Astyanax mexicanus: one gene and its partner. The protein of the gene in region 2 purifies or fractionates together with the protein of the main gene of each other region. This does not show direct contact. Links are inferred from orthologs where the notes say so. Each region holds a gene or a part of one and is shown on either strand. Other genes may lie near its edges.

Region 1 (16,685 bases), on a different chromosome or scaffold from region 2:
GGGTCCAGTTTGGTTGCCCGTTTCAAAAACCTACGAGTGTGAGGAATCCACAGACCTAGCTGCAACATGTTTGGGCAAATCTGCCATATGATGCCATGTGTACGCTGTATGCCTTTATGCCCAACTATATCTCATCTTATATCTAGGCTAGAGGCAGCCCAATAGTGTCCCAGAAGCTCCTTTAAAATTGGAAAGTTTCCATTAAAAAAAAACGAATATAACTATCTCTCATATATGTACGTATATAAAAATGTATTTGAGTTCTAAAACACAGACCAGCATAAAAGAAAAAAGGTACCACTCAAGGATATCAATATTTTAATATTTTAAACTGTCTATCTTACAGTGTTGCTAGAAAAAAAAAACAAAAGCAATCAAACAAAAAAAAACACAATTTCAGCAACCACAAAAACCCAGAGCAAATGTTTAAAAACAGAAGACAAGGTAGCAGTGTACAACGCATGATACAATTTGATAAAAGAGTGGGAGGAGAGAAAAAAATGTACAAATGTAATAATTTACATAGTCAGGTTGTGATGGGCATCAATGCGTTTATATACAAGTCCTTATCTGCCATCATATTGGAATGACCGTTTGACCTGAAATTTGTTTTGCTCAAGTTGTTCCCTTTAGTGCCGCTGTCACGGTGCCACAGAAATGCTCATTATGCAGAGTGTCCTCTGGCCATAAAAAAAATGTGCAGGCATGTGTGCATCCTACTGAATGACAGATAAAAAAAAAAAAAAAGAACCTCAGACGTAGAAAAGTCGTACCCGGGAGGTGCTGACATGAAGCTCATCATCATAGAACTTGGTCTCTATAACAACATTACCACTATAAAAGACAAAAAAGAGAACAATTAGGGAATGGGCAGTAGAAAGAATAGAGATACTTATTTAACATGACTAGACGTGCATTTAAAAACATCTTACGTTAACACATTAGCAGGCATCATCTGTGACTCTGGTGCTGCCTCTATCAAAGACTGCCATGTGTTGGTGGAATTAGGTATCACAAAGCCAAATTCAAAGAACCACTCTGTGGGGAGAGGGGATACAATAAATGGTTACACCCAAAAAGTACACAGAACAACTTATAAACTTAAAACAAAAAAATTCTAAGACATTATAAACATATAGGTATATGTGTAAAATATGTTATTAAATACTTTTTTATTAACTGTAAAAACTGCAGTATAAATTGTGTACTGAATAATGTATAATGTATAATGTATAATTTGGAGTACGGAAAGATAAGAATGTATGCATGATAAGAAATAGTGGTCCCAACCTTCTAGACACTGGCCTTTGAAGAGCACTTTTTGTTCCAGGCGGAATTTTTCCAGTTTTTCTGATGAGGAGAAATTCAGTTCTCTAGAGACAGCTTTACATTTCAGAATCTTCTTGGGAACTCGAGCTGAAAAGGACAAACGTGTTACACTTTTTGCACAGATTCACAAGTGTATTCATGTTCTTACATAACCCATCTACATGTAAAGTGTGTTAAATGTCCTCAGCCCACTGAGAACAAAGTTTAATTTTTAACACTACTTACAAATATCATTTTTCCTTTTTGCATGAAAACACAGCAGTTATACTACCGCTATAATGGTTTGGTTATACCACTGTTGTAACAATGTTAAGTCTTTATAATAGTGGATTTCATCGCTATCCAATGAAAAACAAATCTCTCCATTTTTGTCAATTTTTACTTTACTATATAATTTAAACACACAAACTATTCACAAACTGTTACAGTGTATCAATATTTATTGATGACTGCACCAACAGAATGTCTCCAAAGTTAAAAAAGAAAGAAACTCTTTTACCTTTGAAAGTTTTAGAAGAAGAAGTTTTTACTTTTCACTTGTAAAGTTGCTGTTTTGGAGACTTGTTTTTCATTGGACAGCAAATATATGCATAACATAGATCCACAAAGACCATTCAGTCTGCAGCTAAAGCCTCTAAAAGCTTAAGTAAAACCTTAGGTGAACTGCTGTCCTTAGAAAATAGAGCCAACAGCTTTGAACACAGTTGACACAGTGGAGCATTCATACCTTCATGTTCTACACCAGGAACCGAGAGATCTTCAGTACCCTGCCAGAGAACCTTCCCCGTCTCTGCATCCCTCAGGTTCATCCAGTTTCTGCAGATTAAGGTTAAGGCTACTAAAATCTGAGAGAAAAGCCTTCCATATTTAAAAAAATGTTCAGCAAATAAAATAAACACTGTTTAAAAAGTCCAAAAATACAAGATACAATGTATCAAGATACAACACAGCATTATATCAGATTAGCTATTTTAGAGCTTTTCTTACTTAGTTGTTACATCACATTAACTGTAAAATGTGCTTAAAACTCCACAAACAGTCTCAAGCATCACAGCAAATGTCAGCCTCACGCTTCTTTAGTAAAACCCTTACGGAAGTAAAACACATAAAAACAATGATAATCTTCTTTGCTTCAAGTCACAGACATCTGACCTCTTGATCTTCAGACCACCTGTGTCTTGTCTAGTCCTGTCCTTGAGGTACACAAACACAGTGGTCTGTCAGTGCCAGGCCACAACACAAACCCCCACCATAGTAACCACTCACCAAGGGACCCACATTACCACATACTACACTCAACACTACAAATGATGTTGCTAGCAAGAGTTCTTTAAGAGATGCCAAAGGAAAATATTTTGGTTCCATAAAGAACCAAAAATGATGAGGAAGAAAAAGCTTTTTAATAGGTCAAGGACCTAATTTTTTATAGGGGTGGAGGATATGCTAAAAAAAATGCATAACAATGCTTTTCTATGATACACAATATTTAGCTCAAGAGACACAATAGCACTCAAAATGCACCATTAGTGACGGATCCTTAAAAAACTCAACTATTCAAATACCACCCTAAACTGAGTACAGTGATTTTTATTTAAAATGTCATATTATACATTCAATTAAAATAATGAAATGTGCAGTTTTGTCAGCGTTTTTCAACAATACAGTCCCCTATATTCTTTAAAAAGGTTATTGTCAATTTGATGAGAAATAATACAATACAATAAAATAGTGTCCTATTGTCCATATCTAGTTCTTTATGCAACCAAAAACAGTTCCTCTATGGCACTGCTCAAATAACCTTTGGTAGCACCTCTTTTGTTATGGTTCATACTATGTGTACACCACATGATGCAAACTCACCCACACTGCCTTACAAAAAAAATCTATAAAGTTGACTCACAGTAAGTTGCTTTTTTAAGTAGGATTTAGAGCATCCCTCAATCACTATCAAGAGTACTTTTATTCAATATTATACTATAACCATTAATTCAGACTTTATAAAACTAAAACAAATTATAAAAAACATAAGTGAGAGCACAATTAAGACACAGCACTATATTGATTATCAGGAAGTTTCAATTAAAAACATATGCTCTAACTGGGTCCGTTGATGATGGATTGGGCCATAGCACTAGAGATTAGTGGTGACAGGTGTCTTCAGGATCACACCAGCTGTGTATACCAGTGATGCACAGTGAGAGTCGCAGGGGAGAAACCCTTTAACTCACAAACAATGACACAGTCATGCTAATTAGTCCCAAGGCTACACTGCTTTTACGGAAGTCACATGCATTTTTAAAATGTTACCCACTGTTTCAAATCTGCCATTTGCAATTCGGTGTTGGCCTTGCAAAAAAATAAGGTACCAGCTTAAAAAAACGTTCTAAATGTCAGTAGACTGTCTCTGATCATTCAGTGGCAGTTTCCAGTGAGATGTTCTAACCTAAATCAAACCAAAAAAGAAAAGTTTGAATAGGGAGTTTGAATGGTATCCATCTGCATCTGAATACTAATTCCCACATATTAGTTTTTAACATATCTATGTTTTCACACACTTAAGATACATTAAGGAAAAGTCTCTACACAGTGAGCACTGGTCTTGGCTCTGGGGGTGTGTGCACTTATATCCTCATGAGCATGTGTGCTTTGGTGCTTCTCCAAAGGGAGGCTACTTTATGCACTGCATTCACCCCTGAGGCTCACAGCCAGAGAATCACAGATACAAAACAGTACAATATTCCAAACAAACAGGCCCACTTAGATATTAGATATTGGGATAATTGTTTACAATTTACAGCACATTTAAAGCCACAAGGGGATTCAGTGTTACGTTTAGGCAGTGTAGCTACAGCAGAGTTGATTATTATACATTAACATTCATTTTACAGTGTTGGCAATTTACAATAATTAAGAAACAGATGTATTACCATTTAGAGTAATCATGTAGGTATTTAAATACAGCAAAAAAATAACAAAAAGACTCCTGACACTAGTATGAATTCTTGCTGGCTTTGACTGGTTTGATATCTAAAGCTCATTAAGCTTCCATTACTAAGTTATAACCTACACAAATATGACATTAATTAGCCTTCTATAAATATGTCTATAGGTAAGGCAAATATTTGAAAGATTTAAAGCCATTACTGTAATGAGACTTTGAGAACCACCCGGCACAGGCAGGGATGCGAGTAGCATAAGGCAAATCCCTGCCCTTGCAAATAAAGGATTTAAGAATTACCAGCCTGTAAGATACACCCTTACCTTCCCAAAGAAGGTCACACTCATAATCAACTGCAAATTACAACATCAGCAAATGACTCTAAAAAAACACAATGCCACATCAGGATACCTCTACAGGCCCTTTCAACAGGTTAAATGAATCCAACCTACCCTTCGTGACGGCTACAGTATGGCGGTAGGCTGTGCAGGTGTGATTATTCTTGTCGGACTTACTGAGCCAATTTTAGGAGCAGCAGGCAACGTTATGTAAACCAAGTAGCCAGCAGAGACACTCTTACAGTGGGGTCATTTCACTAGTTAATGCACTTTGATCCCACAAACATCTAGCAACCTCCTAAAATCTTCCTAAATATGACCTGCTACACAGTCTGGAGCCTGTCAGACATGTCTGCATTTAAATAAACTAGTGAAAAATCAGATTTGAGCAACATTTTAGATTACACTGTGAAGGAAGTGTAGTGTAATAAAGATGCAGACCAAGTAGCCCTAGCTCAAAAAACAAAAGCAATTTAAATACGTGATTTATAGCTGACATTCTGCACGCCTACAGACATATATGGAAATATCCCGCAAAACAGAACAAATTATCAGTTTACTAAAAGCTAAAGATTGACTGTAACACCTCACTACCAGGTTACCACACGTAACACCCCCTGTAACATCAATCAGTAACGTTAGGAAACTGGGCAATTTGTAAACCACAAAAAAAAGACGTCTAGTGTACTTTTATATATATTGCACTTATCAGTTGGTAACGAAAGTTATACATTAGCTAGCTAACCTAACTAGCTGTTAGCTAATTTATACAAACAGTACTACTACTCACCGGTACTACTAGTCTGATAAACTAGTTAGCTAACCTAGTTTAGCCAGCCTAACAAACTAATGTACTCTTATCTGCAAAATAGACCTGGTGCCAGTAAAGCTAGCTAGCCTTACATAGAATATAAGTTAGTGTGCTAGCATGCTGCTGCAAAGACATAAACTTTCGTTTTAAATACAATTACAATAATAATACAAAAAGTAATAAAATATATAATAATAAGCCATAATAAAGAATATAAAGTTTGTTAAAATTATGAGTTAGCTAACTAGCTATAACACACTTTCTTTAACAGATAGCTAGGTTAACTAAGTTAGCTAATGGTTATAGAATTAAAAAAATATTATGTACAGCTATCACCAATATTTAAAATAAATTAGTAGCTGCACACTACAAAATTAAAAAGGCTTAAATTGGCTGTGATAATAGGTTAAGTATTAACACTGGTTATTCGCTGCCGATTAAGAATAAAAATATAAAAACAAATTTTGGCTAGCTATACAGTTAGTTATAGTTAGTTAACTAAGATTGCTAACGCTAGCTAATTATTAGCCAGCTACCTTGCAAACGTTAGTTACTCGGCTCTCTAATCCTGCTAACGGAAAAGCATCGCTATAACCAGCTAGCTTAGGTTCTATGGCTAAAAAACGTTAGATAAGAAAACACGCTTCATTTCTTAAACGAAATGAAACGTTTAGCTAAACAGTGTTAATCTGGTCACTGAATGTTATTCTGGAAGCTGAAGGCTAATCTGGCGCTGTTGCCTCAAGTTTAAAGGATACAGTTTAAAGCCCTTCAGGATCTCCTTCGCCCTGTCTTCATCCGAAGACATCGTTCCGAAAATCGTCCGATTCACTGAATGGAAAAATAAAAAAAATAAAACAGAACAGAAAGCAGCAGTCCACTAGCTAAAATATTCGACTCGCTGTAGCGGGTTAACCTGGTTATTAGGTGAACTGGCTAGCGGAATACCACACTTTACAACACACAGCGCTGCTTTTAATCTGAACAGATTCGCCTCGGCTGCTGCTCCTCCAGCCTACTGTAAATAGATTTTCGGCGGAGATTGATTGACAGCAGAATCGCCCTACTACCGTGCGCGTCTCAGACGAAACTACACAAACGGACCAATCAGGATGAAGAATGCGGCACTTGGGGCGGGGCTTGATTGGTTGACAAGGGACGCGTCACCGATGGCAACTAGAAAGGTCCTTTGGATGCGAGCTACGGCGTCTCGAGTGGATCAAGCGGAGCTGTGTTATCAGTTACACAGTTCGCCTGGGTCTGGAAGTGATGGCTGAAGCAGAATACGACCAAACGTTAAATTTGCGTTAACTTTCCATCGCTAATGCACTGAAACAACGTTAATCTCGATTTTACGACTAAAGATCTCGACTAAATGTTATGGTTTTATATATATGGTTTGTATTAAATTTTAATTACATTACATATGTGTATCTTGTTTGTATTCTGTTCCTATAATCAGTACTGTGGTCTTGCACAATAAAAAGACACATTTAAATAATAATTATTTTAGTATTAATATTATTATTTGTGTAAAGCACACTTCACCTAAAAGTAAATGTAGATACAGAGCTCCAACCATTCAAAACCTTTAAATGAAAGTTGAATCAGTGTCAGAATTTCCGCATTAACTGATGGACATAGGGAAATGTCAAATAAAGGTTGTTTTTTTCCATCATCAACCTTAAAAAAATTAAATGTATAAAAATAACCTTTATTTAATGTTGTATAATATCAGGGTATGCACAAACATAAGACATTTGTGGTCAATGTTAATAAAGTAAACCCTTCTAAAAAAAAAAAAAGCTTAAAAAATACATACCCTGGTTATGCTAGTCAAGGAGATAGTCTACCAGCATAGTCTATGTTTTTTCTCTTGATGACCAGCTGGTTTTAAGCTGGATTTTGTTTATGTTAACAGTCAAAATTTTTGGGATCTTTTGGGGATTTTCTTAAAAGGACCCACTTAAACTTATACAACCTTCTACCTTCATCCCTTCCTTTGTTGGAATGTTGAGCGGTGGAACCATGCTGGAGCTCCCCATCCAATATCTTTAGGATGAGATGGAGTGGAGTTTGTGATCCAGAACTAATCATCACGGTCACCTGACCTAACTGAAATTAAACATGCAAAGACTCAAATATTTATGTAAACACAAAAGTGTGTGCTTATAAATGTGACACTGAACAATCTGTCTGTCACAGTTATTGACTCAGACAATATTTGCTGATGGATCAATGATCTGTCATGACAATGGTAAAAAGGTCACTCCACAAATACAACACAATTTTGTTTAAAAATAGGAACTTCTGAAAATCTACAGCTGTACTGATGTGGGCTGAGTTCTTGTATACATTTATGTCAAATACTGCAGACCTGTAATAATAGATTATGTCCATGGAGTGGTGCTGCATTACAAGAGAAAAAAAATACTATTTAGACATAAATACTTTTTTTTATTTAGTCAATTTGGGCCTGCAGACTACAGGCTACCTCAGGGTCACTGCATTTTTCGTACACGTATTCATTACATATACATTCAAGTACACACATTTGTTTAATATGTATTTGTCCCACCCTGCAGCTGGGCTGATTAGGCCTGGAGTTTGCACAGGTTGGTGATATCCGGCTTAAAACACACCTAATTCAACAAATCCATTGATTAACACATTCTCAAGTTTTCATGATGAACTAAGCTTGCATTTTTGTTCTTGACAGTGTTCAGAGAACATAAAACACAGCAGATTTGCCAGGGATAAATCAACACTGTTGTGTTAAATTAACATTTATCTAGTCAAATTCTAATGCTTACAGTGTTGATTTAACACGGGCAGACAAGCTCCTTTGCATAAAAACTGTGTGTAAACTGAGAACTATAAAGGAACCTGAAAGGTAAAAATGCATGAATAAATAAATGTCTAAAGCAGTGCTGAAGAACACTCTTCACTTTCTTTCATCTGTAGGTTTATGCTGAGTAAATAAATGAGTCCTAAATAGTTTTATTAAATTACTCTAAATTACTCTTATTAAAGGGATTCTGAAAGCTTTTTTTTTTTCATTTCCGTGACATTTAAACTTTATTAAAAGGTTTACAGTTGTCCTTAAAATGACAATTAAATGTATTGATGCTCTAAAGAACTACATGGTTTATTCTATGGTACTTGTCCAAATAACACTTTATACACCTTAACTGTTAAAAAAATAAGTTTTCCTGAGTAAAGAGGAGACAAAATATTCTAATAAATGGAATCAAACATATTTATTCTAAAACAGCTTCTGGTAGGTCTTTCCAGAATTTATTCTTACCATGACAGCTTTTGCTGATTACTTGTGTAACAACGGTGCTGCTAATGACATTGATTCGAGATCTACTGCCAACATGAAGATATCAGAACAGCAAACTTAGTCTTTATCTGCTTATTCACACATCATTAAAATTTAAAATTAAAGAATGCTGGTGAGCTAAAAGAGAACGAGACCTTGATATAATAAAGCCCTTGATACTTTTGAGCATGCTGGGTGCAAAAACACATTCTCAGCAAAAAAAAACATTTTATTAAAACAAATTATTTCTTTTTTGTTTTACAAAATGTATCTCAGTTAAAATAAAAAAAGGCTGTCCTTGTACATCTACATGCGATTCTAAGTTCTGTAGAAAATACCGTTTGGCACCGTGTCTATCAGTGTGTGGTCAGAGCAGCTGTTACAAGAGAGAGACCATTACAAAAAACCTCAAAAAGCAGCCAAACAAGCTTGATGATTTTTTATGATCTCAGGACAGAATCAGTGAAAAGGCAATTTGTCTTAAGAAACAGAAGAAATGAGATTCATTAAAAGCCCTATCAATGATTTTTTCTAAGTGGAAAAAATGCATTTTATTAGATCATATTAGATTAGATTAATGGAAAAAGTGCTGCTTTATTGGCATAAACTGGATAACGTAGACAGTTTTGTTTGAGATTTAAGAACCAGGAACCAGATTTAGGGAGTTCAAGTGAAGAAGAAATACAAAAACAAGTGATCCTATAAGATCATATCACTAGAGACTCCATACCTCCAGTTCTGTGTAATCCTAATATAAAGTACCAGATATTGGGTTAGGCATTGCTAGATTTAGTTTAAAAGAATATTAAGCATAAAAAGTGTAAATAGCATTTTTAGTTAGAGTCAGTTATGTCAGACAGATCTGGGTACATTTCTACAATCTTAAATCAGAAAATTTCTAGTAAAAATACAGTATTTCTGACGGTATAAACTCAAAATATTAAATTCTTTGAATGATAATTGGTGAATGAAGGCTATGGTCATTGGAGCCGCAATCAATACCTTTAGAACAACTGTGTAGTGTCTTTTTTTCATTTATAGTACTTGTATCATGCAATATAGGGTGAGAAATGTAAGTTAATACAGGGGAACTCTTGATTCATCTCTGGTTCATCTCTGTTACATGTAGCAGTAGACTGATTTACCCCTGTGCAAGAATACACTGCAATTCTAACAGATTTATTCCATTATTCCAACTGCTGAAAGTATTCTTAATTATATTGTGTTTTTCGGGGAAGGCATTGCATCTGATTGTAGTCCTTAATATACAGGTTTGTATAGTCATGTCTGGTCTTAATTCTTTAAATGGCTTTGTTTAAAAGTGTTATGATCACTCTAACTTCTGATATCACCCTTAATCAAACAGTCAGTGCAGGAGAATAAATCAGGTGCTAGATAAATTGTTGATGTAAATTGTTGTCATGAACAATAATTGGGCATAATATTTACTTTGGACTGAAGTAGACTATTGGTCCAATTAAGATTGTTCAAAGTGTTAGTTAACATAATAAGCTTAATATTCCTATACAAGTTCAAGTGTCTAATAAATGTCTAAACAAAGTTGAGCCTCTCTCTTCAATTTATTTTTCCCAGTGCCACTGGGTGAGGCTATGCTCTTTCAGGAGGAACGGGGTATAATATATGGTCAACTGGAAGGGCTTTGGTCTAAAGAAACAGAGCTGGAAAGGATCCAGGTTTCCTGCAAAGAATGTCCTACATCCAGGGTTGTGTAAGCATTAGAAACGCACTCCCTGACCTAGAGGTCACATCAGGCATTGTCTGCCTTATCCTTTCACTGGTTACAGTTGTGTCCAAGCCAGAGATCATCCCTGATAACTTCACTATCTTCAGTCCAGTGCAACAACAGCTCTGGTTGGTCAAGTTAAGATGCTTTTGGAAAAGTGGGTGGTGGTCCACAAGGTTGTCTTCATTCCTTGGCCACACTGGGGGTACCATTACACCTTCTGGTTCTTAACATCTTGTCACTGTTGTATGCTCCCCATTAGTCGTTCTTGGACAGCTCTCCCACTCTTTATCACCTGAGTTCTAATCTGTGTTATTTATGTACATTTGTTTTTGGTTCTTGGATTGCTCTTTCAATATTAAAGATTATGTTAAATTTCCTCACAACAGCAAGAGAGGAGGGTTAAAGAGACACTAAACCCTAAATCATATTTTTTCATTAAAAGCTAAAATGTGTTTCTTTGAAGTAATGCAACATACCTGTCCTGCTTAAATGCCTTTATTGTGGTAATTTCTGCCTCTGCAGCACCCTCTCAGATTCAACTGTGATAGGTGTAGATGATGTGTCTGAGTATTTTGGTATGCAGACACATACAATATGCAGATCAGTCAATCAATAATACCGCCCCCCCTGCTGACGTCCAACCATTTGCGCCTCATCAGAGGCACACTGCTGCTGCTGCAGCTCAGCCAATCAGCTTTCCCCATGCCCTGCCTCTAAACACATACATCACTCAGTGCCCCTCCCAAACTACACCTCCCATTTTTCTTTAGCTTTTTTCAAATGGAGGGAGTCTTTTTTTAAATCTTTCAGCAGCAGTGAAAGATACCAGTGAGAGGGGCAATCCTGTTTCTCATTTGTACCCCAGTCACTGCTAGACCTTAGTTCAGGGGTGTCAAACTCATTTTGGCCGAGGGCCACATTGGCATATTGGCTGTCCTCCGAGGGCCAGATGTAACTTATAAATATAAGAAAATGTAACCAAATGTAATGTAATGTAATGTAAATGTAAATGAATGTAATTACTCCTTAATGTTAAATAACTCTCAATATATTATTTATTCAATCAAATATTACAGTTGCATGGAAAAAATGTTTGCTTGTTGCTCTATTAACATAAATCCTGTTATGAAATCCAAAAACTCCATCAATCAAGAACCAAACTATACAAGTGAATAGAAATGACATAAAATACAAGTTATATTAACTTTGATCAAAACGTTTGATACTGAAAAGAGGCTTAATAAATATAAAATCAAAAATTGTGAGCTGTGACAGATTTAGCATTTCCTCATCCAACCACTAGTGGGAGCTGCAGCAGCACAAGCCCACAGTCTTTACTGAGTCAGAGCTACAGCCCAGCCACGGGCTACAGGACTCAGCTGAGCCAGTCTGGAGCGTTTTTAAAATTTTAAGTTCTTCTGTGTATGAAATAAAATAACCCCACTAACCGGATAATACAGCTCTCTACAGTTCATATTTCAGCCCAAGCAGCTAACAGCAGCAGTTTAGAGCAGCCATCCCGGAGTCACTGCTCGGATTACATTATAAACAGGTCAGTTAGCGCGCTGCTAACCTCAGGATGTTTATAACTACGGAGTTTAGTGGACACACCACGGCTGCAAGGTTAGACTGTTGAAGAAATCAGTAAAGGCTGGTTAGATAAGTGATTCACCTCCTCGTCCTTTGCTGAGGTGAAACTGCGACTAGCGATGTCACAGTGATGTTTATTAACCTCATTAAAACAGATTTGATCAGCTATTGTCTTATAAATATTTACACATAATTTATATCTCTTCTAAAAAGCGTTTATTTTCGTCAGTAACACAAAATGCATACCGGTCTTTCGCCTTGAAGCACAGCCGTCCGTCTGCATCAACTTTTCTTTTTCTGGATATTATGGGATAAACATGTCTCAATTCCACCCGCGAAGTTACACCTTCCCTCCGGCAGGGTTTCCACATCAATGACTACACTGCCGTGTAGTGGCAGTAAGCCGTAACTTTGCGGGTAATACAATCGACAAGCATTGTGGGAAATGTATTTTTTGGTCAAAGAACGCTTCTGACCTATTTATTATAGACACTAAAATTTTACAAGCTCTCGCGGGCCACATAAAAAGACGTGGCGGGCCACATTTGGCCCACGGGCCTTGTGTTTGACACATGTGCCTTAGTTAAATGTATCTTTCCCAAAGGAAGGAGTAATGCAGTAATTATTTAGCATCTTCCACCCATAATTTGTCGATTACAGGGAGCCTTAGGTAAAATAATGTTACTGTAGCACCATTTAATGTCAAAATGCAATGGATATTGCAATTTGAAACAAACAAATCAATACGTCTGTGGGTTTCATTGGTCACTTGTTAGGGCTGCACAATATATCGATATTGCATCACTATCGCGATATGTCACATCGCAGGACGTGCAAGGCAATTAAATCAAACACGTCAGTGTTTTGATTCTTGACACAAGAAGTAGATACACAGCGTTGTCTCTGTATCTGTCTAAGTGACAGGCTGCTGCCTGAGAAGTGCGAGGGGGAGGGGCAGCACAGTTTTGCACAGATATTTCCAGTTACAGCTGAATTCACACTTTTAATTCCAGAAAAAGGCTCCTATACACCTTTTAAAAATCAATTTAAATGTCTGATTAAAGGGCTAATTACTGTTGTTTTTCTCTTGTTTTAAGTACTCGGCGCTGACTCACTCTTGATCGGTCCCGACTTAAGACTGCACTTGTGTGGAGGTGAAGCTGGTAAAGTCATGGCCCCTGATTGTTTAATATTGCAACATATAGCTTTGAAAAAAGAACATTTGCAATGTAAATTTTTTCGAATATCGTGCAGCCCTATCACTTGTGCATTGCAGGTTTTTCTTATAACCATCTGCTTTGACAAATCTCTGTTTGGAGAAACACTTAAAAAGAATAAGGGACACCCTACCCCAAGGCATGAATGCACATATATGGAGGGGTAGGGCTTAATAGTAGGGGCAGGAGGTGAAATGGGATTAGGCCAAAGACTGAGAGTTTCAAAACTGTCTCAGATACTATTCATAACTATAGAAGTTACTGACTGCATTGTCTCCCTGACACACACACACTTACAGGCATATATGAGCTCACTGTTCAAACATGTAGCTTTTCTTGCCACACACACACACACACACACACACACACACACACACACACACGCTTTCTTCACCCTTTAATTTGGCTGAGGGCCAAGTGCAAGTGGGTGAGAGCACGAAAATGGGGAGAGAGTTTATTGGAGACTGTTGCTCACATACCATTACACACACACACACATACACACACACACACACTCTATCACTAACTCCTGCACTCAGAACAGGCAAACACATGAAGCTCCAGGCACTGGGTGAACAAGCTTCCATGGAAACCAAGCTCCACCCCTTTAGGGTGGGGAATGGCTTTTTAGGCTGTGAGGGGAAAACACTGCTCTACTTTTCCAAGTGAGGGGGGGCAGTGGGAGAGAGAGAGGGACAGAGGGAGGAAGATTGAGGGGAGAGAGAGAGCGAGAGAGAGGGGTGGGGCCACTGAATCTGGAAACTGAAACTTTTTCCTGAAAAACAGCGAAGAACAAGATCAGACACACACACACACACATACTCACAGGGTGTGGTGCTACAAGTGTGTGAGCTTCCAGTGTGTGAGCTGCCCTGCAAGTCCTGCAAGTGTGTGAGCTGTGTGTGAAAATGGGTGAGGACGGAGTCCAGGCCGAAAGGATCAGCGTGGCAAATGGACATGAGAGCCAGGAGCTGCACGTCCCGGACCCAGTGGTGGACGCCCCTCCAACACACACCCTGCTCCAGCCTGAGCCTGATGGCGTGTGTGCCATCACGGTTCTGACTCTGCTGGACCAGCTGGTCAAGATGCTGGACTGTGTCCAGGAGGACCAGTCCCGCCTGGAGCAGCGGCAGGCCCAGGTGGAGGGTGCCGTCCGTGGAATCCAAAACAACATCACCAAACTCAGCAAGAGCCACAGCAGCACCGCCAACACCCTCAGCAAACTGCTGGACAAGAGCCGCAAGGTCAGTGTCCACATGAAGGAGGTCAGGGACCGCATGGAGAAACAGGCCATTCAGGTGAAGAAGCTGGAGGCGAACCACAGTCACCTAATCCAAAGGAACAACTTCAGAGTGCTCATCTTCCAGGTACGGGTAACAGGGGGTGGTGGGCCATTGGGTGGAGGGGTGTGGGGTTTGAATGATCTAAAAAAAATATTGAAAGAAAAAAGCACAGAGACTAACTATCTCTGAAACCTCTAGGGGGCGCTAACCAAACAGCAATAAGAGCAATTTGTTATAAAACAGGAAATTCACAAGAGGTTAATTTTAGCGTTTCAAATTTTAGTAAACAAAAGAAATGTATCATTCATCATATTCTTTTATGCAACATTGCAGAACAAGCCTTTAATCTATTTATGAATTCAGTTATTGTACTGTGAGCACATTCCAGAATGAAAGAATGTCCAAAAATGTCCATTTCAATTTCATGTGGAATGAGATCTTGCTTCAGTCGCATACCTAAAGTTATTTTAATCAGCATCAAAACTTCTAAACACATTAGGCATAAGTATGTTTCACAGCTGAGACAGTGTGTGTGTGAGTAAGGGAGGGTGGGGAAACACGGCAGCTCGACATTTCACAGCTGCAGACCTCTACATTCTAAAATGAGGGTCAAAGGTGAGGGGTTAAACAGCATTAGCAGGAAGGGTGTGGCTGGGATTCGGCAAAAATCACACATTTGCACTGACACAGAAGAGATTCAGAGGAACAAGCCTTTAGGATTGTTTCTGGAAGGATACAGATACAATTAGTCAAGTGGAAAACATCTGTTAAAAAAAAAAGCTAAGTGATAATAACTGATTTCTCTCTCTGGTTTTCTTAATCCGTGTGTCTGAGATAGAAAGAGCGAGATAGATAGAGAGAGAAAAAGAGAGAGAGAGAGAGACTGTAATATGTTAAGGTTTGCTTCTCCATGACCAGCTCCAAACACAGGCTTACTGGAGTGTGTGATGGTGTGTTTTACTGCTGTTTCTGTAAGACAGCCTAATAAGGCTATCTGCGGATGGAGAATAGGGGAAGAGAGAGAACTTTGCCTGGTCTTAGATGGGTTGGGGTTTCTACCAGATCTCTGCTATGCTTGGGAGGATCTTCACTCATTTCTTCTGAATATCTGATTCATGTTCTGTAGGTCTGCTGGATCTGAAACAGTACCACAGGTTCTGCATTGAACTAAGGACTTTTTATTTGATTATGATCTATCTGATCATATTTTTTGTCCTTAAACCACTTCTGTGTTGATCAGGCTTCTGATTACGGCTTTAGATTTTAGAAGACTGATGCAGGTGCTCTTGCAGTGTCTCCCTGTATTTTTACATTGTCCATACATCTATGCATCTACCATCCATATTTCAGTTTTAAAAAGTTGCCCATTCCCACAAATATTTAGCAGTTTTGCACAAGATAAGAAATCTGATAATATAGGCTGTTAGAATATAGTAATATATAATATAATATAATATAATATAGGCAATTAGAATCTTCTAACCCACTCATAGTAATAAAGTAATGGTCTAGATATTTGCAGTTAAATGTTAATAACACATGTAGATTGTAGCCTGTGATACACAGTGATCAATGTTCAACCTAAAGCTACCAGAAACACTGTCGTCTTTAGGATTTGAGTTTTGTGTGCCTGTTGGGGCACCAGTAGTATTATGTTATAAAAAAACTGACAGCAACTAAAAATTTGGGAAATGTAAAAACAATTTCCTTCAAAATACCATATTACTATTATTTTATAAATACGCATACAAATGTTTATGAATTTGTTGGTGCCAGAAAAGGAATGATCCTAAGGAAGGGCAGTAGAGTGATATAGTTTTGTTTTTGAGCACATATTTTACTAGTCATTGTTTACTATGCACAATTTATGCATAAATATACAGTTTTCAGTTTTATTAACAGACTAATACCTGCAGTACATCATAGTGTAAATCTAGCACAATAAATTACTCAAATACTACAGTTTTTCATTCAAATTACATTTTTTTGCAGGGCCCCAGCTCTCTCCTATTTTCATTTGTTCACTAACAGTGCTACATGTCCCCTGTCTGGTCCCCACTGTTCTGGGGCCCCAAGCAATTGTTTGGCCTGAATGGTGACAAGTGAC
Region 2 (16,689 bases):
CATCAACAGTGAGGACCGTGATGTGAATGCACATGACTCACCATTACGTTTGTTATTTGAGGTCCATGCAAGAGCTGTAGTACAGTTAGTTACTGGGTTACTCAGTCACTTGGTCAGTCAAAATCAGCTCTACCCGCACATTCATGCACAGCCAGCCCACAATGACATCAATCAAGTAAGCAAGAAGCTGAATTATTTGTATGACAAATTAAGGCAATGGACTGAAGTCCAGTCTGAGCCTCCTTGTTCAGTCTGTCAGAGAGCATGATTTCAACCTGGGTTGCACCTTTCCAAATCCAAATTGCACCAATTAAAACATAACTTACATTAAGAGACAATTTATAAATAAAACAACTGGCGATCGAACTGGTGTTCGGTAAAGTGATTACATTCCCTTGATAAAATGTGACCAGTATAACCATTATTTAACAATCCTCCCTTTTTTATTACATAAATGACCCTCTTTACACCTGGTATCTTCACACACTTCATCTGTATTGAACAAAGGTCACCAATCAAATCTGTAAACTGTAGTGTAAACGCATCTGTCTCTTTAAGATATATATCAATCTCCTCCCTGTTCAGCAAGTGGACATGTGATCCATGACTGTGAAGAAGATAACCTCGGAGTATTACAGAATGCAAAATTGCAAACTTCATAGCAGAAATCAATTACTGGTTGCTGCATCTTATACTGCAGGCAGAATTTTGTCAAACTGGAATCGCATTTGTCCACCAAGACTAAAAGCATGTAGCTAAAATCTTATCAGGAAGTAATCCAGGTACTACTCACATGGAGTGACCAGGTGTAAACAGAGTCAATGAGATCCGTGAAACAAAACAACCGTAAAAAAAAAAAAAAAACTGGTATCTACTTGCTTGTGGTAAATAATCTGTCCAATTTAAATACCAGAACTCTAAGATGTTAACTGTACAAGGCCATTAAATACTGTTTAGAAAATGTTGTGAGTCATAGGTCAATCTTTTCATCCAACCATAAATATGTGTACAAAATAAAATCAAATCAGACAGGCATAGATGTTAAGTAAAGTGTAACAATGGTTGTTACACACAGCTGTTAGGCTTGAGGGTCCAGGCACTGCCTTTTTTCTCTCTTCTTCAAGCTCTCATAAGGATGTGGCAAACAGGTCTAAAGACCTGAATGGTGGCCCAAACACTTCATCTCCCGTAGTTCTGAGTTTCCCTTTGGTCCTGAAAGTCCAGCTTCCTGAGTCTGTAGCTCAGCTTGGGAAGTATGCAGTCTCAGTTTCGTCCAGCTTCGTCCAGCATCAGGAGATGGAGCAGACGGTGCTGTTGCTCTGGTTCTTCATCACGGCCTCCCTCCTCTTCAGTTCTCTGGTAATCCTCCTCCTGATGCCCTCCAGGTACACGGGTCGGTCAAACTGTCCGGCTCCCAGTGGAATGCTGGAATGCAGGTATGTTGCATTAGAAATGCTTAATCTGCTAAACTAATAGAAGGTATGCTACTTTTTGATCAGGGATGGCACAAAATAGTAATGACACAGTAGGACATTATGCTCACAATTAATCCAGGAAGAAAAACACAGCTAACCCATTTATGTCAATTTAGCAATCCTCAAATATGTTTACTGTATCTCAAAGAGAAGTACTTACTTGTCTCTGCCAGGCCGAATTTTGACCTGAAACATGCCAATAACAGGCCGGTGATCCGAGGTTTTGATCGATGAACAGGAAGTGTACTTAACCACTTTAATATCATCTGCTTGTCTGTTCCTGTACAGGATTCGATCCTACACCACAATAGAACAAAACGATTCTTAGCCATATTGAAATAACAACAATAATTATTCAAACACTAAAAAATAAAAAAATGACAGTATTCCTCACTGTATATGAGGGTGTTCTCTGCTTGGAAGTGCTGTCATAAACATCACAGCCAATGTCGAACTTGTAGGTGGGAGGGAAGTGGATAGGGGCTTCCTGAAAGCCTTTAAAGATGGAGCCTATGAACAGAAGTTACAGGTTGGATTAATTCTACAGGCTGGATTAAATCTTTGTAGTGTAGATTTAAAACAGAGCCAGCCCTACAACTATCAAGTGTCAATAGAGTTACCTTCTTTAATTTCTTTACACAGCTGATCGTGCTGAAGCAGAGGGCCCATATCTTTCCCAATGTGCTGGTTTAAAATAGCCTCCACGCCTCCCCGGTCTTTACTCAGGCGGAAGTTAAAGTCCCCAAACCAGAAGACTTCATCGAATCGGGTGGTCACATCCGCTGAAAATAGAAGATACAAAGAGATGTTAAGTAACAGACACAGATCAACGGTAGGTGATGCAGCAATTTAAATGTGATTTGCAAGGAGACTCACAGGCAATGGAACGATAAGGGTTGGTGTCAGGAAGACCTCTGGGAAGAGCCAGAGCTTCTACTATCTTGTTGTAGTCCAATATTCTCTCGTACACTTTGGAATCTCCAGCTGAAACAGAAACATCGCCCATGTTATTATGGTACTAAAGTGGACCTGCCAAAAGTCATAAGATAGGAACTAATATGTCACATGTCTTTTGGCATGTCGTGTGGAAGCTAGATAATGCTGCAGCAAAAAAAGAAAAAGGAATTGTCTGTTATATGAGCAGCAAACTAATATTGATGCATTTTAGAATTCTCTAGTAGCTTTTCAGGTAAATTCAGCAGATGTAAAGCTCATAAAAGACCTAACATACTCTGTCATGTTGGATGTTAGTTAAAACGCTTATTTGGCTTAAACAACAAAATATAATTGAACATTTAATTCAACTACCAGTTTCACAGACTTTTTTTTATCTTTTAGCAGCTTTTACAACTATCCCTGGAAATTTGTGCTGGAAATATGACTTTTTGACAATCACTAGAAGTATACTGGTATGCATTTATGCTGTCTTCACTTGCCGTACTTACAAGTAAAATGAGATGTTATAAAGAGGAAGGATGTCCCAAAAAAAGTGAAGCCAATTCCCACTGCCCCTTTAGTCTTGATCTGCGAGATGATGCGAGTGGTGACTGTAGCATGTTCCACCTCTGCAAGACGAATCATCACCAAAAGCAAATTCAGGCAGTGCATACACAGTCAACAATATAAATATAAAATTACTCTCAATTAAAAGGTTAATACTGATACTAGTGAGATACTCACCAGAACAGAACCATATGAGATCCCTTCGTATAAAGATGGTAAGATACAGCACTCCGTGTGCTGCTGCATAGAGCATGACGTAGTATGGACCAAGTGTTTCCTGCAGTCGGATCTCCCACTCCCTCCTGTTGACACAAAATGATGAGTAAAGCATAAAGAGAAACAGTGGCCAAGATGTAAGCAACAGTCAACAGATGGTATACCTATCAGGGCATCCTTCCTGAACCCCAATGATATAGAAGTCTTGAGCAAATTCAGTGTCTGTGGGAAGTAACAGGTCATCGAGGTTGTTTGGAAACCCCTGTAGATCACATGCAATAGTCATTAATATGGAAACATATATGGAGCCAAGATTATAGTTATTATAACTAGAATATAGTAATTATAATAAGTATTATTATTTTAAAAGCTGTGTATCACAATATCACTCTGGATCACCCACTTTTTCTCCCTGCATATTCCAGGTGGCTATGTAGATCCCCACGTGTCGGTCAGGAAAGTACCGGTCCAGCTCTTCAGGCCCAAGCAAGGCTCCATTGCCCAGCACACTGCCTTCCAGAAAGCTCCTGAAACCAACATCATCAGTCAGGTATATGGTTGATATCCTTATGCCATGTGTACTGAAGATTTAAACAGGTTAATTCATACACACAATATTACAATTTTGCCCCGACTGCATAATATTGAGTAAGTATCTTTTGCCTTGACTTAAAGTTTCAGACTGCCAGCCCAATTAATGATTTTAAAGTGTCTTTTCTGTTACTTGCAAAGAGCCAATCTATTTAATTTTTACTTTTCAAATAATCATTTGTTACAACCCTACTTTTGATAATTGAATGTTTTTACATTTTAAAATGTGATACACTATTTACAAGTTTTTTTTAGAAAACACAATTTCGAAAAAAAAAAAAAAAAGTGGATTTGTCATGCCAAAAGTACGTTCAATGTAAAGATGTGTAGGTTACTTGTAAAAAAAAAAAAAAAAAAGACCTTGCTCAAACCTTGCTCAATTATACTCTGGTCTGCTCTCCACTGCAGTTATAATATATCCAAACAAATAACGCAAAGCCGTGGACTGACAAATTAGCTCTTAATGCAAAAACTCATATTCTTTGATGAATGAAAAATCCAGTCAGTAAAACAGCATGTAGTTAGCACCTCCTACACTGATCCAGTTTTAATCCCCTTACAATTACACTACTAAGCATTCCTCATTTCACACTACCTTATATACACAAATTTATTACTGAAGATCAGATCATTCAGCATTTGTTAATGCTGTGTTAATGCAACATGCGACATGCTGTAGATATACACATACTGTGTATATCTAATAAATGTCTGCTAGTTTCTTCTGAGATAGGTTACTTAAGTATGCAATTAACATACTAAAAGGACAAGGGTATAACAATTCTAACAGACTTCTAGATGCAGATGAATCACCTGCATAATACCTTAATATATCCATAGAAAAAAAGTAAATGTTAACAACACAAATAGAAACAGCACCGGTCACTATATGCCCAACAATGAACAGCAGCGAGGGCATGTACAAGCCCCAGGGAAGACCGGTTAATCACAGCATCAGGTGGCAGGTGCATGACTAAACATGGATCATTCAAATACCCCCATGACTATGATCTAAGCTAGTGGAGCACTGAATGACAAACCCGGAAGTGAAAGGCGTAAAGCTACATGACAATGGCTAAGCCTCACAAAAGCTGCAATAGTGCAGATTATCTAAAACAAACGCACAAACATATACCAAAAAAACTAAAAGCCAAATGAATGAACAGGTTCTACCTGTTTCTCACATCCTTAGGCCGGATTGGGTTCAGTGCACTGAAGTTGGACTTCATGGAGTTGACCGAGGCACTGTCTGCCACCATGGTGTCCAAAAGCCGGCTGTCGCTGAAGTTCCTGTGCAGCCTCTCCGGCAGGCCCCTTTTCCCGTAATCCAAACAATCCCTGTCAATCCGATTAGTGGTCCTTAAGGACATGGAGGCAACACTGTAGTCCAGTGGAGGAAAAGATCCCGTAGGCTGCAGGGGCGACAGGATGATTTTGGAGGGTTTTGCCCGCAGCTCGACCAGACGACTCTGCCTGGAAGGATGTTTGTCTGCCTCTGGGAGGCTGCTACATCGATCCCGAAACGGTGGGGACTCCCTTGTTGCTCGATCAAAGTCGATTCCCCCAGAGATCTCTCCATTTTTTAAACCTAAAGCACTGCTTAGCACAGGTGTCGAGTCTTCTCTAAGGGAGTCCGTGGAGGAGCCTGTCTCTGCTGGATCGGTGAGACTCTCCTGACTACTCCGCAGTCTTCTCCTCCTTGTCTTTTCCTCAAAAGAGAAGTTTCTGATCCCTTTGCCAACACCGGAAGGCTTGGGCAGGGAGGGTGGATGAGGCTGGAAAGGGTTAAGGCTTGTCTCCTGGATCTGCTCATCCTGAGAGATGTGTAAATCTTCATTGCACTTCTTGGTAGCTCTGGGTTCTGTGTTGGTTCCATCACCACCTTCTATGTTAAAGCTGGTCTTGCTGCTGGGTGGCTCCTTTGATCTGACTTCATCTTCAGGTTGGAATGGGACGATGGTATCTCCATTCTCATTCATCCTACTATCACATTGGTCTTCAGATGCAAACAAGCACCATGGTGGTCCTCATGTGTTCATATCCTGAAATGTTGGTGACAAAAAAGAATGCCTTAAATTATCAGTTATGTACTGAATAATTAAACTGCTTAATGCTTACTTTTCTATATTTTACACTTTCATAAATTATACTATACTTGCTAAACTGTATTACTTAACCATGTATTATTTATACTTAGAGCTGAGCGGTATACAGTTTATATTGAGCTATAATAGTGATGTTCAGTGATATTCAATAATCTATTTTTTTTTCCTTTCATTACACTGAACTCATATTATTAATCATGCAGCTAAATACAGTGTACTACAGTGTTTGTCTAATATTAAGGTGAAATAAAGTGTTATGTCAAAACTAGACCTGAATTAAGAATAAAAACATGTGGAAATCATATCATGCCTGGATCAAATTTGTGCCAAATGAGCTATCAAGTTCACAAGACATCCTGTTTAAGAATAATGATATCTCCACTTCATAAATGGTATAATAAACAGTTCATAAATACGTATAATCACTGGTTATGTGTGACATTTTAAGTAACACTGCCATTAATGAGCTCAGAAGCAAATGGAAACTGGTCAGACCCAGGGGAAACTTAGCTTGGTAGCTAGGTTATGCTTTTCACCTTTTCTGTCGAGTTGTGCTACCCTGTCAAACCGTGCTACCGTAGTGTATATTTAGGTATTTAGATAGGTAAAAACACAAAAAAGCACCATATTAGAAAATGCTCCAGGCAGAAGAAGTCTTGGTAGGAAATTCAGAATAAATGAATGTATCACGTAAGGTGATTAGAAACCGTCTTTTTATAGTTTATTACTAATATTTTTCATTCCACTTTTTATTGCCATTTACAGGTTTGTAACATTCAAGAAGACATCTTAATGCACCCAAGGAAAGCGGAATTATCATTAAAAACACATGAAAACATATAAAAGGTGTTAAGAAGCACATTTCGATGGGTAGCATAAATCGACAAAACACCGGCTAGTAAGTTACCGCTAGCTAGGTTACGTTAGCCAGCTAGCTTTAACTAGTGTAGTCTGGTGGTAAATTTTGTATTTATTAAAGTCATATCATAAACACAGTCAGATATATGGTGTGTTTTTACACCATAAATAACGGGCCTTATTAAACTAAAGGCGAAGAAAAAAGCAGCAACATGTTGTTATTGGTGAATCTCAGTTAACATTAGCGCTCTGTGGCTAGCAGGTCCAGCTGCTAACGGTGACCGCTATTAACACTGCTGTAAACGCGCCGCAGCTAACGGGCTAATAACAGGCTAACCGCGCTGTCCTCAGCCAACGGCGGCCGTGTCTCAGAGTGCAGCAGCGCAGTTCCGCTTTAATATATGTAGGTTATATCTAATTTGTTTGTTATTAAATGTAGTAATTTAATAAAATCAGTCGTTCAGTACCTCCAGCTCCCCGCATCATACCAAACTTTTCCCACTTCCTTAGCAACCAGCGAGCAGCAGCTTTCGCACACAGCGCCCCCCTGAATCCTACTGAATCCTACTGAAATTATTGATTGTATTCATTAATAAAGGAAAAATCTAAATAACTATACCTAAATGATCATTTTTAAATATATTTAAGTAGAATATGTCCTTAAAAAAGTTTTCTTCAATTTCATATTACTTCTCTGGGAGAAAAGAAGCATATAAAATGTATAATACAAATAATATTATAAAAAAATAAAGAATACAGGGATAATACAGGTAGATACAACTGGGTAAAAAATAAAACAATAACATAAACAATAATAAAATTCTTATAACAGATGATGAAAAGTAGAGTTACATAGTATTATATAGTTTGGTCACACTTTTGGTTAAATAAATAACTAAATAATTCCACATATGTTTCTGTATAGCTATAATGTCTTCAATATTAAATAAGAAAAACATAAATAGAAAGACAACAGAATAAATTAGATGTGTGTTCAAACGTTTAACTAGTACTGTATATTGTTTCAGTGTTGGAACAATAAAACAACCTGTTTTTCTACAGTCCTACAAAATAAAATTTCTTCCAAATTTACCTTTTTTATTATTTTCTATTTTCTTTTTCCCCCACATTTTTGTTTTTAAATCTGTAATTTGTTTTACATCCTAATTCCACGATTCTCTCTGTATTCCAATGTCATTTCTTGGAGCACTGTTAAGAGGTATTGACCACTGCATACTGGAAGCACCCCACAAGATAAGATGTTTCGGAGATTCTCAAATGCTTACACTTGCCACTAGGACCATTTAATCAATGTTATACAATTCACATCATTTCAGTATTTTAAATTTTGGCTAAATAATCAAACAGAAAAATAACTATAAACACACAGAACAATCTTTATTCCTTTTTTAAAAAATATTTTATTGACATTTACAAAATACAATATACAAAATCTCCCAGTGTTCTAATATGATCATTCATATTTGTGTTAAAACATACTGTGGTACAACCTGTTGATTTAATTACTGTTTAATCAGTAGATTTACCAATGCTTTGCCTGAGATGACAGCATGATAAATTGTTCATGTTGGCTTTGTTGACCTTTATGCACTTCAGAGTACAAAATACAAGTGTCATACTGAATTACAATCTTAAGACATCAAGTTGTACTGTTTTGTTAAGAGTACCTTATAAAGAATAAACATTTATATAAAAACCTTCAATAAAAAACTGCATACGCCATAATAAAAAGTGAATGGAATAAAATAAAAGGTGTTTCTAGGAATGTAAACAAAGGCAGCGTGATTGTTCTTATTCTTCTTTTTGTCTCTCTAGTCTTCCCAGTAAGAGCAAAGGAGCGACAAAGCAGGCCGAACTGATGAGGAAACAAATCTCAGCTCCGGCCAACCAGTACACTACAAGAAAATATGACAAAGATGTCTTATGAACACAAAACAGCAGCACCAGTGACAAAGAAAAAGTTACGCAGGTAACATATGCACCTTAGTTAGTCAAACTAGTTGTATCTTTTAAATGACCTGTTATCTAGAACAGGAAGAATTTAACTTTAAAGGTAAAACATCAATCATACTTTCAGCAATGTCTGTATATAGGTCAGTCACTTCCTCAAGTGTACCTGCTAATATAATAAAGATAACAGTAAAAGAGTAAAGGGTGTTTCCTGTTCCTTTACTTGCTGAAAAGTGATTAGTCACCTGAGGAGGCCAGAATTGGCCCCAGTGCTCGGGCCAGGGCTCCCAGGCTTCGGAGGATCCCCATCACTGTGCCCTTCTGACTGGCAGTGCCTAATGCAATGGAAACATCAGTGACATAATTTTTTAAAGATTTTATTACTTAGTTGTTGTTTTTTTTGTAACATATAATAATCCATAATCTATAAAGTGCTATATTTCTTGTCTTGTAGAAGAAGAGCACTGCTTTTGTGTGGCCAAAAAGACCAAATGTTCACAAATAGACAATGAGCATCATAATAATCAATAATATACCTCTAACAAACTGTTACAACTTCCGTAAGTTTGCTTAATGTGCCAGGAAACAAAAGCTTAGGTCAGTGCTAGGCTAAAAGCTAACTCTAGCCTGTCCATTCTACTAAATAACGTCTGTTCACTCGTCAGTAAACTGGAATATCTCCAACTTTAGTGACCTACCCAGTGTAAGTAACACTATTTAGTGTTAGTGTAATTGGCTAGCCTTATTTTGCACAGAAAGGAATACTGTGGAAACAGTGTGGTAAGACTCAAGGAGGGGGTCTGCAAAGGCAGGCCTTTAGGCATTCAATTTTAATTTTACACTGTATTTTGTTACCAAGATATTAATCACTGTCCTCACTGTGTTCTTGTGTGATCTTTCAGTACATATCTACTTACATTATGATCTCATTTTCTGCTGCATAACATCTGTAAATGTTTCTGTACAAATATCAGTCTAAAACTTCCATATAGCTTAGAGAACAAAGGCTCACCGTGTCCAGAGACTTGTGCTGATAGACATGGCACGACGATGGCAGCCGCTGTATGAGAGAGGAAAGCGCAAATCCATTGTAATTCAAAGGATTTCTTTTTTAACTAAAAAAAAGAGTTAAAGGACTGCTATCAGAAATTGTCCAGATTTAAATCACTGTATTCTCTGCTTACCAAAGGAGTACAAAAACAGGCCGCCATAGAGCATTGTCAAATTGTGTGCAAGGCCAATGAGCAGGAACGCAGGAATTAGTAATATTATTGCCTAAAAAAAAACAAAAAACAAACAAAACAAAAAAAGATGATTTAATAATTGTATAAATGAAAGTGCAAATGATTAACAATACAATCAGAACTTAATTCCTTTATTATATTAGCTACTGTAATTTAGGATTTTAGTGCAATAACTACTAGAGGAAAGCAGCACTGCTGATATGTGTTGAACTATGCTTTATAATCTTCTATGGGGTGACTGTCAATGCCTAAAAAAATACTATTATATGTAAATATATATAAAGTACCACGCGAACTGTCTTGATCTGGCGACTGGGCTGGATCCTGCGAGCGTATCCACCCTGGAACAGTGCCATTGTTATGCCAATGAAAAAGAACATCTTCCCCTGTTGCATGCTGTAAAAAATATAAAGAATAAAAAGAATAATCATTAGACAACAAGAATAATGAGGAAGTGGCAATTAATACAAAATGATTCAATAAATCTACCCCTAAAGTGATATGTCACACAATAACAGTAACAGTTACTGTTGTCACCACAATCACAGTTGTGCATAATGTATGAGTGTGTATTACCTGGAGAACTGAAAGCGCTGATGGGTCAAAAAGCTCAGAGTAAACTCCAACCCAGAGAAAAGAAAGAGGTATGCGAAGTACACCCAGCCCAGAACTTTTAGATTGTTCATGCCTAGTGTCACAATAATGAGACAAAAGCAAAATATTTGTAATTCTTAAGTAACAAAATGTGTATGTTTGTGGGCATGCAGCATATATCACGTAAAGTAGAACCAATAGTCTTCAACCCTTTTCCTGGAGAGCTCCATCCCATATTTAACACACCCAAATCAGCCATTCAAGCAATTATTGGATCAGCAGCTTTCCAGGAGCCGAGTTGGACAACTGATTTACAACTACAGATTTAAATGCAGATTTATAGCCATCTCCTGTAAAAGAAAGAATATAGTGTATTATACATAAAAATGGCAATAATTAATACAAGCCTACTTTGTTTTGATGGTGGTTCCTTTGTTCTTGTGATGGCAGAGAAGTTGAAAAGAGCCACTGGACTGAGCAGGTCCCCGACCTCCTGAACACCAGAGGCATCTGAGGAACCCTTCGATAAAGAAAACAGCATCTTTTATTACATGAAATCTTATATGACCAGTGTGTAATCCCTAAATCTCTATAGTCCATAGTCCATAATTATTGGTTTAACCTTGCTTTACTATTTTATTGTAGTTACATAATTGCATATTTAATTACATAGTTAGGTACTAAATCAATTATAGTTCACGTTTTGAATGTTATAAATATGACAATATGATGACTGTTCATTCAGCAAAACTAAACTGTTCCTAGAACAACCTAATAAAACCTTTTTTTCTTTCTACAATACAAATACACAAAAAATCGCCACAAAAAAAAAAGGTCTCACACTCTAATATTTCATTGGACCGCCTTTAGCTTTGATTACAGCACACATTCACTGTGGCATTGTTTCAATAAGCTTCTGCAATGTCACAGAATTTATTTCAATCCAGTGTTGCATTAAATTTTCACCAAGATATTTGATGATGGTAGAGTCTGACCGCTGCACAAAGCCTTCTCCAGCACATCCCAAAGATTCTCAATGGGGTTAAGGTCTGGACTCTGTGGTAAACTATCAATCCATGTGTAAAAAATGATCTCAAGCTCCCTGAATCACTCTTTCACAATTCCAGCCCCATGAATCCTGACATTGTCATCTTGGAATATGCTCGTACCATCATGGAAGAAAAAATCCATTGATGGAATAACCTGGTCTATATTCAGTATATTCAGGTAGTCAGCTGACCTCAATCCTTCAGCACATACCGTTGCTGAACCTAGACCTGACCAACTACAGCAACCCCACATCATTTGCTTAGTTAAATACAGGTGGCGACATTTTTGGCCAAGCAGTGTAACAAAAAAAAATAATTAATCCCTTATAGTTCCATCTCAACATCTGAAAAATCTACAACTATCTGTTAATAACCAGTAAATACCTGATGAATTGTACTTAGAAATAATATGCTATTATTCCTTTCATGTGTCTAATTTCTTACTCTGCTGTCCTTGTGCAAAGTCTCTGGCAGCATGAGGAAGATGAAGAGCAGGTCTGCTGTGGAGAAGACAACCGCGAGTACAGCAGGGCCCTGATAGAAAAGCTCAGTATTGGCCAGTTTCAGCACAAAGTATGCTCCCATTATTGGGCCAAGAGTGAATCCTAAAGAGAAGGCAACTCCTATCATTGCCTGTTAAGAAAAATACAAGAATAAAACAGTTACCAAACTGATCACACAAACATCCTGAAATCAAAATTTTGATTCATGTGACTCAAGTGTAATTACACAAAAATACACCTGTTGTAACACGGGGATGAGACGGGAGGCGGATTTATATGCGGGTAAGACCAATACTTTAATAAATAACAAATAAACAAATAAACAAACAGGGGAATAACGAATATATCTATGTACATAAACAAACAACAGGGAGAAACGTAAAACAGATAATAACAAACAGGGCTAGGGATATATATTAATAAAGGATAAATACGTAAATATATACAAAATAAACAAAGAAACAAACAGGAAATAAACGTGACTAGAAATAACGTGAATGACAATAAACAAGAGCGAGTGAATATGAAACGTGGAGAAAGCAATAACGTGACGTGACAGACAACGGGGGAAGGTGCAAAGACCGACGGCTAAACATGGACTAAACTGTGCTATAAATAGGAACAAGAAACACTGAACACCTGGGGAAGGGGCGGAGCTACAAATTACACACACGTGAAGGAAAAGTATTAGAGAAACACACTAGGAAACGGGGAAAACACAGGAAAACATAGCGAGGGCGTAACACCTGTTATGTCATTAAATCATTTCCAAAATCCACTTTAGGGCAGATATGAGTCTATTAAGTGGAAAGATATGAACAGAAAGTTTCCACAAATCGTAAGCTAATAAAAGCTTGATCTAGATACTATATCCTACCACATTTTTTGCACTATAAGGCGCACTTAAAATCCTTTTATTTTTCCTAAAAATTGTCAGTGCGCCTTAGAATCTGGTGTGCTTTATGTATGAATTTTAGCAGTCAGATTGTAAGGAGTAGTAAAACCACTCTGCTGAGGTCATACAGGAATTTCAGTTTAAATCTCCAGCAGTATTAGCATTAGCTGCTCACCTCCACCAAGCGGTGAGACCTGCTGAATTAGAAGGAAGACAAGGCGACACCCCTGTTCCTCACTAGAGTCGCATAAAATAATCTGGTGTGTCTTTTGTATAAAAATAGTCCAGAAAATAGACGTTTATTGGTAGAGCGCCTAATAATCTGGTGCACCTTATAGTGTGAAAAATATGGTATATATCTTGACCCTTAAACCACCTCAAAATTCATAGTGAGGGCTAAAAAAAAGTACACATGACTTCATTGGTCTTTTAACAGAGACCAAATCAGAGTGCTGTTATTGAGAGATACTGGCACTCAAAAAACCTGTAAGCAAATATAATTGTGACAACAGAACTAACTGTGGCACAATTTTCTATAACAATAATAACGACACTAATAATTACAGTACAGTAATTTACTTGTGTACATCTTGTAGACATCACACAGTAAACATGACTCACCATTCCTTTGCTTCTTGCTTTAGAGCAAGGCAGGTCAGCCACAACCGCAGTGCAGAGGCTCACATTACCCTTACATAGTCCTCCCACAACACGAGACAAGAGGAAAATACTGAAGCTGTGGGAAACCGCCCAGAGAATGTAGGAGAAAATCAGCCCCACCTGGAAACAGAGATTGATTGATTTTGAATTATAAGGGCCATGAATGTCTCAACACCCCAGCCTAAGAAAACATATTTCCATTATTTTCATTATCTTAGAATATTCATATAAAAGAAGCTAATATGCAGCTGTTGAAGCAACTTATTTAATACATTAAAAAATCCCCCATACTCACAGTAGTTAAAAGCAGCAGTGGTCTTCTCCCATGATAATCTGATACAGCTCCTATCACAGGAGATGACAGGAACTGTAGCAGAGAGTAGAGTGAGCCTATCAGACCTAAGAAGCAGAACAAAGAGGAGATGATCATCCCTATTGGACACAATCAATCTAATGATAAATTCAGAAGCTAAATCAATTTTTACCTCCAAACAGAACACTGTTGTACTTCGTTTCCATTGGAACTCCTACAATCTCCCTGAACCAGTCCACAATGCTCTGCAGTGACTGGTACACACTATCCTGTTTTAACATAAGATAAAAATACTGAAATCTGTTATGGATTTTACGTTTATTATCACTCATAATCATTGTCAGACTAAAATCTTGTTGACTTATTTAAAGATAAATTTGATCTTTCCTCTCTACACTTTTTCTACTATTTGCAACTTTGGCATTATTTTAGAGAAAATGATTATTCAATATCTAGTTTTTTTTGTGTGGATCCCCAGTTTAGACTGTGTCTCTAAGTTCATTTCCAACTCCACTTGTTACAGAGAGGCTTGGGCCAGAGAGAGTAAGAGTCACATAACAGATAAGGTATGGGAGGAAAGCCTCAAAAGAATTCCACATTGTTCTATTAGCTCCTGGTGCAGACAGATTCACTTCAAAGTATTACATAGACTGCAGTATTCTAGGGTAAAACTGCATAAGAATTTTGGTTCAGTATCCTCACTTTGTGAGAGATGTAAAATAGAATAGGGTTCTCTGGCTCACCTCCTTTTATTTTGCCCTGTTTTGTAGGGTAATGTATTCAACTGAATCTCAAGTGCACTTAAAGTGTAGTTGAACTTTGACCATGTAACTGTAATTTGTGGTTACTCTACATGCCTGGATGCTCTACATATCCAAATCTTCTACAACAAGTGCCGTGGCTGGTATGGTTGTGGCCAAAATGTTGATCCTTCTCGTCTGGAAATTGCCTACTGCACCATCATTTAAACGCTGGCTGTCTCACATTTGCTTCAATAGAAATTTTGTGGCAACACAATCCAGGGTGCACAAGACCTAAACAAAACCTGAAAACCTATATTAGACTATGTCAAGAGACACTAATGTGGGCTTGTTTTTTTAGGGGGGGGGGGGGGGGTTACCCCTTCTTCTTTCTTTTTTACGTGTGGTTGTTGGTTGGAGGTTGGGTTTTGAACTGTTGTTTCTATGTTTTTTTAATGGAAAATATAAAATGAAATAATAAAACATATTGAAACAAAACTTGTTGGCGTATATTCACTTTTTGACATAATGTGAATCTGGCAGCTGTTATTTACATTGTGTTATGTCATGGTGAATGGACCAATATTAATGCTCCAAAATGACCTGATCTTTTTACACTGACTTCCATTAAACTTCTGCAAAGTTGTCATTTTTTCTTATTCTAACACCAAAAATATGCTGAACAACAAAAGACAAGTGGCTATTTACTGATTTACTATGAATAAATTGCTATATAAATATTACAGAAGTGTATATTGTATAACACGTTATTACACAAACCAGAGAACTACATGAGTACATAATATTAAAGAGTAAGATGAGGATAAAGTGATATCTCACCCCTGTTTGACTGTAGTGGTCCAAAATGGAGGGGAGGAGGGGGAGTATTAAGGTGAAACCTAGCAGGTCCAGCAAGAGGGCCAAAAACACCACCCGAATGACTCGAGAAGAGTGTCTGTCCTCTGGAGAACTCTTAGCCCCCGCCATGACTCCTCTCCCAGTCTCTTCACTGGTCTGCTCACAAACCTGAATAGTTGTGGATGATACTCAGAGCATCTCCTGTGCTCAAAGAGATAAAAAATATCATTTTAAGCATTCAAGATGAAAACACTTCAACCTAAACACCACTTCTATATATACTTCAGCATCAATACCTCATATGATAACAGCAACGTACTACTAACATCAAGTGTACGGCCTCTTCAGAAGAGTAGAGGCCTTTACTGGAGCAATGAAATTTATAATATAAGCAGGTGTAAACAAACATTTGGACAGATATTGGTGGTGGAGCAGTTGCAGATTTAAAGAACAGATGCTTTAAGGAAGTTGACAAGTATTCACTGCATTGCAAAACAGCCAACTAACAGGAAGTGTTTTATGACGTTTTATGTCTTCACGATAACTGTAAAAGTGTGGGACAGCTAGAAGAGGTCCAAGGGTGGTTCTAGTTCTACAGATATTTAGGAATATCATTGATAATAATAATGGGTTTTACATTTAATCATAACAAACGCAATTTGCACTGTACTAAATTACAATGTGCCTTTTTGTGTCTCAGATCCATTTTACAGGTTATATAAAACAGCTTTAGAAAGCTGTTACATTCACAAGTCTTTAATTTCAACCTGCCTGCCTTTCACCTGTCAATCCAACTATCTATCCTTCCAAGTATCTGGATTGTCTTTGTCTTTGTGATTGTCTTTCTACCTGTCTGTTCTCCCAGCTAACAAGTAAAATGTTTTTCTATTGTTCTGGGCTTTTTTTAACGCTCTTAGAAATCTGTCAAGGTTTCTATGAGTTCTTAGGGTATTTTTATTAAATTGTTTTAAACATTCTGTTAATGTTGCTTGCAATTGCTTGTCATTTTTGCATATTTATAAACTGGTGGGTGATAAATTTGAAAGACTGTTGCTTTAAGAAGTTGGTATTTAACTTCACTGCGTTAAAAATACTAACAGCGACTTTGTGGAAT

The links.
Region 1: the proteins of inpp5e (region 2) and pde6d purify together in Homo sapiens (affinity purification with mass spectrometry; 3 studies listed by BioGRID and IntAct, with this or other methods). This does not show direct contact. The link is inferred for Astyanax mexicanus from reciprocal best matches to the Homo sapiens genes INPP5E and PDE6D.

What each region holds. Positions count from the first base shown.
Region 1 is NC_064412.1:25,055,799-25,072,483, reverse strand, and holds pde6d (retinal rod rhodopsin-sensitive cGMP 3',5'-cyclic phosphodiesterase subunit delta), read right to left. Parts: upstream 6,447-16,685; 5' UTR 6,225-6,446; coding exon 6,175-6,224; intron 2,146-6,174; coding exon 2,057-2,145; intron 1,417-2,056; coding exon 1,291-1,416; intron 1,039-1,290; coding exon 933-1,038; intron 835-932; coding exon 753-834; 3' UTR 302-752; downstream 1-301. Other genes in the region: cavin2b (caveolae-associated protein 2b), read left to right, coding at 14,204-14,662. UniProt on the Homo sapiens protein: Promotes the release of prenylated target proteins from cellular membranes. Modulates the activity of prenylated or palmitoylated Ras family members by regulating their subcellular location.
Region 2 is NC_064429.1:22,874,454-22,891,142, forward strand, and holds the start of inpp5e (phosphatidylinositol polyphosphate 5-phosphatase type IV), read right to left. Parts: upstream 7,311-16,689; 5' UTR 7,216-7,310; intron 5,828-7,215; 5' UTR 5,765-5,827; coding exon 4,959-5,764; intron 3,722-4,958; coding exon 3,598-3,721; intron 3,457-3,597; coding exon 3,359-3,456; intron 3,281-3,358; coding exon 3,156-3,280; intron 3,041-3,155; coding exon 2,921-3,040; intron 2,460-2,920; coding exon 2,352-2,459; intron 2,258-2,351; coding exon 2,096-2,257; intron 1,986-2,095; coding exon 1,870-1,985; intron 1,773-1,869; coding exon 1,636-1,772; intron 1,426-1,635; coding exon 1,290-1,425; 3' UTR 1-1,289. Other genes in the region: mfsd10 (major facilitator superfamily domain-containing protein 10), read right to left, coding at 8,561-8,664, 8,965-9,054, 9,732-9,779, 9,904-9,994, 10,251-10,359, 10,540-10,651, 10,969-11,077, 12,051-12,239 and 4 more. UniProt on the Homo sapiens protein: Phosphatidylinositol (PtdIns) phosphatase that specifically hydrolyzes the 5-phosphate of phosphatidylinositol-3,4,5-trisphosphate (PtdIns(3,4,5)P3), phosphatidylinositol 4,5-bisphosphate (PtdIns(4,5)P2) and phosphatidylinositol 3,5-bisphosphate (PtdIns(3,5)P2).